Linked DNA regions of Xenopus tropicalis. The protein of the gene in region 1 purifies or fractionates together with the protein of each later gene. This does not show direct contact. Links are inferred from orthologs where the notes say so. Each region holds a gene or a part of one and is shown in the gene's direction. Other genes may lie near its edges.

The links. The genes of interacting proteins can lie anywhere in the genome.
Region 2: the proteins of ttc1 (region 1) and vapa purify together in Homo sapiens (affinity purification with mass spectrometry; 5 studies listed by BioGRID and IntAct, counting the BioPlex papers as one, with this or other methods). This does not show direct contact. The link is inferred for Xenopus tropicalis from reciprocal best matches to the Homo sapiens genes TTC1 and VAPA.

The regions. Positions count from the first base shown.
Region 1 is NC_030679.2:16,155,351-16,159,011, reverse strand, and holds part of ttc1 (tetratricopeptide repeat protein 1), read left to right. Parts: intron 1-133; coding exon 134-246; intron 247-767; coding exon 768-804; intron 805-1,835; coding exon 1,836-1,984; intron 1,985-3,661.
Region 2 is NC_030682.2:104,685,112-104,688,772, forward strand, and holds part of vapa (vesicle-associated membrane protein-associated protein A), read left to right. Parts: intron 1-103; coding exon 104-256; intron 257-3,661. UniProt on the Homo sapiens protein: Endoplasmic reticulum (ER)-anchored protein that mediates the formation of contact sites between the ER and endosomes via interaction with FFAT motif-containing proteins such as STARD3 or WDR44.

The DNA.
Region 1 (3,661 bases):
AAGTTGCTAGGAAAGGAATATTCTATAACATTCGTAAAGTTAATTTAAATGCAAACCACCTCTATAAAGACCTGATACCTGCATAAGAATTGAGCTGCATATAGGTAATTATACTCTCTGCTTTGTGTCCCAGAATACCCTGCTGCTGAAACTGTATACACTCAAGCACTTCAGACGTGTCCGGCATTTTATTCCCAGGATCTCGCCATCCTTTTCTCGAACAGGGCTGCTGCTAGAATGAGACAGGTAGATGTATGAGGGCATTTTTTAATTATCGCATACACTAAAAGACCTATACATTAAATAATAGCAATGATTTTACACCATTTGTGTACTCGAAGCTGGTTTATTTTCCCTAGTGGGGAATCTATTTCACACCAGGAACCAATGGCAACAAGTTAGGCCACACTAAACTAAGTGAAATTTATTATCTTCATTTCACCACTGACTGTTTACTAGAACTCATTTCTTTAATGCAGTGGTACATTTCCCTCAGGGATAAATGCCTGGAAAAAAATACTGGGCAAGTATAGACCTTTCCCAGGATCAAATGCTGAAAAAAATCTTTGAAAACTATAGTCATTCTTTAGGGAAAAACTGGAAAGAGCGCTATATAGAATGCTTTGGTGATCCCTTTGGAGCTAAAGATCAAAACCTGGTTTTACTTTGCTTTAGTGTGACAACATATGCATATTATCTAAAATATTTACTGTCTAATGTTTAATATGCCCTTTTTCTAATGACATTGATATGTTTCTCTCTTACAGAACATGAATGATCTTGCATTAGAAGACTGCTCAAAAGGTACAGGTTTCCTTTAGTGTCTGCCAGGTTTTGAAATAAACTCAAAGAATATGTAAACTTTTTGTTTCTGGTTTCCCAGTTGCAAAGCATTTCCTGCAGAAGGAACCTGAAAAAGTGAAAAAAGTGAATCGCTGGTGAGAAGGCATTTTAGGATTAGTCGCCTGCTGCAGCCAGGATTAACCGCAGGCGACTAATCTCCCCATGGGCCATGGTCCTCAATAGTGCCCAGAAAAACATTACCTGCATTAAAGTCATTTCTAAATCGCAAACTGAAAACTTCAGTTAGTTTCTGCTACTACCTAGTCTAGTGTAGATCCCTGCCCCCTTTTCTGAGCTCTTTTTCTCTGTTTGAGTATGAAGATAGTTATAGAGGTGCCTGCTGCACATGCCTGATTGATTTGAATTCCATTGGAGCAGGAGGCAGTAAAGAAAAGGAGGTTTAGCTTCACACTAGACAACAAAGTAGCTGAAATGAGCTGCAGTTTTTAGCTTATGATTTAGAAACAAACGTGATTATGAATTCAGGGAGAAAGTTATGTTATTCCAGGAGCTATTTAGAGTCTCTTTGTGGATTTTAAAATAAAAAGGTAACGTATCCTTTAAGAAAAAGCGTGGCTGACTGTTTCATTATTCCAAAAGAAAATATTAATATGTAAAATTTAACTTCCACACTTTTTTTTTTTCAGTATTGTTTCTTAATTGTATGAAGGTGTCACTAATTATGTGCATAAGGTTGAAAATTAACTACAGGACAATCAAAGTTTACCATCCAAATCAAATTTGGCCTTATCTGGAGCTTTGGCCTAAGGTGGAGCTGAGAATTTAGTCACTGCAAGTCAGAGGCAGACTATCATGGCTCCCCCACCAAATCTGCTGAATGTTGAAGCAATATATGTATATTTCTTTTTGGCACTTGAGACTGAATGAACTCATCTCAAAGAAGGGGGTGGGAGGTGTTCTTTGCCTTTAATAGAAATGAACTAACTGAACTGAGGTAACCTTAGGCCCTGCCTTTTCCTGTATAATTTCAGCAATAGAGCTTAATCCTGACTACATCCGTGCATTGCTGAGAAGAGCAGAGTTGTACGAGAAGACTGATAAATTAGATGAAGCTCTGGCAGACTATAAATCTGTTCTGGAAAAGGATCCATCTGCTAATCCAGCCAGAGAAGCCTGTATGGTAAGTTGGCTGCAGGCTTTGTGCTCAGGTTGCTAGGGTCTTGTTTACCTTAGCAACCAGGCAGTGGCTTGAATAAGAGACTGGAATAAAAATAGGAGAGTGTATAAATGAAGGATATGGATTAAAAAGTAACAATAGTAAAATTGTCTCGGAGCAATAGTGTTTTGGCTGCTGGAGTCAGTGACCCCAGTTTGAAATCTGAAAAGATGTAGAAGTGGAAGGCAAATAAGGCAAAACCTACAAAGTATAATGAAGATCTATTGCAAACTTGCTAGGGAATGGGGCATTCTATAACATAAGGTGAACCGCCCCTTTAAGGTTTCTTGGTATTTTAACCCTTTCACTGCCAGCTGTTTTGGACAAAACAATATATCGTTTTTTCAGGACAACCTAAGCTTTTAAAATATGGTAGAATTTTTGTGTAATTCCAATTTTGTAACAAGATATAGGCTTCTAAATGTCTAAAAAAATGAAAAAAAATATTTTCCATAATATAAACACATATACCAGAAACAAAAATTATTTTATGCATGAAAATACACCTGATTTGGAAAGTCCCATGTCTCCTGAACGTGCCAATACCAAATATATATAGTTTTATGGAGATTTCTCACTTGTATAGGTCAAAAACCTCCAGCAGTACACTACCAGATTTCCAAAGCACTGCTCCAGAAAGCTGCATACTTAAGATTTTAAGGCCAAAAATTCCGCTAACAAAGTTCATCCCAGAACAGATTCTGGGGAATCCAGAATAGGCACAGCTGTCTGTCTACTCCAAACTATCAAGTTGCAATGCTTTCCTAAATTTATTGGTTTTTATCAAAATTTGTGAAATTTTTTAAAAATCGCTTCAAAGCTTCCAGTCTATAGTATCTTATCTCCTAAAGGTCATAAAGTAACCAAATAAAACACCCTAAATATGAACGCCAGGGGTCCACTGAACAGTTTGATACACAATATGTATAGGTTTACCTAAGTATGTGGCATGTAGGGGCCCCAATGTGAACATACCCCCATATGATCTATCATTTCTGTCATTTCAGCTTCTGCAAAATCAACACATTTACATAATTATATGTGGGATAATGCTAGTAAAAAGTACATTCACCCCAGAAAGTCATATATTTTTGGAAAGTACACATTCCCCCGAATCTAAAATGGGTACCCATGTCTTTCTACTCCAAAGTACCAAGCAGCAAAGCTTTCCTAAAGTTGGCAATTTTGATAACATTTCCAAAAATCCACTCAAAGCTTCCAGTTTCCAGCATCTTATCTCCCACATAGCATTAAGTACCAAGATAAAACACCCTAAAAATGAACACCAGGGGTCCACTGAACAGTTTGATGCCCACTGTACATAGGTTTATCAAAGCACATGGCACTTAGAGACCCCCAAATATACCTTGTGCACACTAATTTTATGGCTTACCTTTACCTAATTTATAAACACATGGAAGTTTTATGAGGGGTAGAAGCTGCAGAAATGTAGGGTGACCCCTAAAAACTCTATATTTTTGGAAAGTACACATTCTGAAAAATCTAACATGGGTAAAGAGTCCTTTCTACACCAAAGTACCAATCTGCAAAGCTTTCCTAAAGCTAGTGGTTTTTATGACATTTCAGAAAATTGCATAAAAATATTGTAGTTTGCTGTATTTATCTCACACAATTTCTTGC
Region 2 (3,661 bases), on another chromosome or scaffold:
TATGTTTTTGGGTAATATAAATAAGTGCATGGCTTATAAAGCAATACATTGATAGCACAATTGCTAATTTTGTTGCACTTTTTTTTTTTTTTTTTTTTTGCAGGTCCATTTACAGATGTGGTAACAACAAACCTAAAACTACGGAACCCATCAGATAAAAAAGTATGTTTTAAAGTCAAAACTACAGCACCTCGGCGTTATTGTGTGCGACCAAACAGTGGCACCATAGACCCTGGATCCACAGTCACAGTTTCAGGTTGGTGTACTTGACAATTAAAAATTGACATCTTTGCTTATTCGTATTCCTATATAGGACCCGTTATCCAGAATGTTCGGGACCAGGGGTATTCCAGATTTAGGGGTCTTTCCATAATTTAGATCTCCATACCTTGTCAACTAAGAAACCAATAAAACATTAATTAAACCCAATAGGATTGTTTTGCATCCAATAAGGATTATTTATATCTTAGTTGGGATCAATTACAAGGTACTGTTTTATTTCTACAGAGAAAAAGGAAATCGGTTTTAGAATTCTGAATTATTTTATTAAAATAGAGTCAATGGGAGATGGGCTTTCCGTAATTCTGAGCTTTCTGGATAATGGGTTTCCGGATAAGGGATCCCATACCTGTACTAACAACAAATGATGCAGAGACCACTTTTACGTGTATACAGTGGTGTGAAAAACTATTTGCCCCCTTTCTGATTTCTTATTCTTTTGCATGTTTGTCACACTTAAATGTTTCTGCTCATCAAAAACCGTTAACTATTAGTCAAAGATAACATAATTGAACACAAAATGCAGTTTTTAAATGAAGGTTCACGTTATTAAGGGAGAAAAAAAACTCCAAATCTACATGGCCCTATGTGAAAAAGTAATTGCCCCCTTGTTAAAAAATAACTTAACTGTGGTTTATCAATTTCAATTTTCAATTTCAATATCAATTTCTGTAGTCACCCCCAGGCCTGATTACTGCCACACCTGTTTCAATCAAGAAATCACTTAAATAGGAGCTACCTGACACAGAGAAGTAGCCCAAAAGCACCTCAAAAGCTAGACATCATGCCAAGATCCAAAGAAATTCAGGAACAAATGAGAACAAAAGTAATTGAGATCTATCAGTCTGGTAAAGGTTATAAAGCCATTTCTAAAGCTTTGGGACTCCAGCGAACCACAGTGAGAGCCATTATCCACAAATGGCAAAAACATGGAACAGTGGTAAACCTTCCCAGGAGTGGCCGGCCGACCAAAATTACCCCAAGAGCGCAGAGACAACTCATCCGAGAGGCCACAAAAGACCCCAGGACAACATCTAAAGAACTGCAGGCCTCTCTTGCCTCAATTAAGGTCAGTGTTCACGACTCCACCATAAGAAAGAGACTGGGCAAAAACGGCCTGCATGGCAGATTTCCAAGGCGCAAACCACTTTTAAGCAAAAAGAACATTATGGCTCGTCTCAATTTTGCTAAAAAACATCTCAATGATTGCCAAGACTTTTGGGAAAATACCTTGTGGACCGACGAGACAAAAGTTGAACTTTTTGGAAGGTGCGTGTCCTGTTACATCTGGCGTAAAAGTAACACAGCATTTCAGAAAAAGAACATCATACCAACAGTAAAATATGGTGGTGGTAGTGTGATGGTCTGGGGTTGTTTTGCTGCTTCAGGACCTGGAAGGCTTGCTGTGATAGATGGAACCATGAATTCTACTGTCTACCAAAAAATCCTGAAGGAGAATGTCCGGCCATCTGTTCGTCAACTCAAGCTGAAGCGATCTTGGGTGCTGCAGCAGGACAATGACCCAAAACACACCAGCAAATCCACCTCTGAATGGCTGAAGAAAAACAAAATGAAGACTTTGGAGTGGCCTAGTCAAAGTCCTGACCTGAATCCTATTGAGATGTTGTGGCATGACCTTAAAAAGGCGGTTCATGCTAGAAAACCCTCGAATAAAGCTGACTTACAACAATTCTGCAAAGATGAGTGGGCCAAAATTCCTCCAGAGCGCTGTAAAGGACTCGTTGCAAGTTATCGCAAATGCTTGATTGCAGTTATTGCTGCTAAGGGTGGCCCAACCAGTTATTAGGTTCAGGGGGCAATTACTTTTTCACACAGGGCCATGTAGGTTTGGATTATTTTTCTCCCTAAATAATAAAAACCCTCATTTAAAAACTGCATTTTGTGTTTACTTGTGTTATCTTTGACTAATAGTTAAATGTGTTTGATGATCAGAAACATTTTGTGTGACAAACATGCAAAAGAATAAGAAATCAGGAAGGGGGCAAATAGTTTTTCACACCACTGTATATCATTTTGCACATTTCCATTTTAAGATAGCTTCACCATAATATTAATGCGATGTGGATCGTTATTTTTTTTCTTTGTTTTTGGATTGTTTAGCTTTTTAGTTTACTTTCCTGTTAATGATAATGATGGCCCTATTTAATCCCTAGGAAGAAATGGTCATCAAGCTGGTTTAGGAATTTTGCCACATTGAAAATATTATTCAAACTTGAGAAATTAATTATGCTGTACAATTGTTGGTAGGCAGGTGGATGACCAACAAACAAATCCTGAGACCGCACAAATTAGAAAAAAAACTTAGGCAAAGATGGAGTTTTTTGGCTGCATTTTTAGTATTAAGATTTTGAATTTAGGGGCCAGACGATTGAATTAGAACGGTGGGTATAGGAGCAGTAGGTTTGGTGAATCAACAAGCCAATGCGGTCCCCAATTCGACTGAAAAATCAAACCTGTCCGGTTGAGATCTGGCTGATTTCAAGCTATATGTTGGTCTAGCGAGCCCATCTGTTCCCATACACGGGCGCAAAAGCTGCCATGTCGGTTTAAAGGACCGCTAGAATTGGCCAGTGTATGGCCACCTTAACTTGCAGCGCAGCAGTGACTGAAGTTAGAGCACAGGTCACATGGCTGTAGCACCCTGGGAAATGAAGAATTTGGCTATACCCATGTGAATTTTTCAAAATAAAATTTTAAAAAACCTGTTTGCATTTTTGAAAAATGAATTTCAATGCATGGTTCTGCTGGAGAAGCTCTATTAACTGATGCGTTTTGAAGTAAAACATGTTTTTCCATGACAGTATTGCTTTAAGGGTTCTTTAGACCCACTTGCGTACCAGAATGCAGAAGTTGACAGTCTAACATCCCATCACACCCAGATCACATTTACAAAGATGTGTGTTGATTTATCATTCTTAAAGGAAAAGTAACACTAAAAAAGCTATTCTACCCTGCACCAATAACTGTCCTATCCTGCAAACCACTTAGTATTTTAAATGCTTTAATAGAAAATACCTGGTAAAACTTGGCTTCCTGTCAATTGAAGTACGGCGAAGGAAGGAGCTGCATCCACTATGTGACGATCGATTGATCAAGCCTAGCCTGACTCCTTCCTATACAGAAAGAAGGCTAGGCTCGATCAATCGATCGTCACATAGTTGATTCAGCTGCTTCCTTCGCCGTATCGCCGTACTTCAATTGACAGGAAGCCAAGTTTTACCAGGTATTTTCTATTAAAGCATTTAAAATACTAAGTGGTTTGCAGGGTAGAATAGCTTTTTTACTTAAAAAAATTTAGTGTTACATTTCATCTGTGGATAATTTGAATGGCCCCTACAGAGTTATCTGCCAGATATCTCAT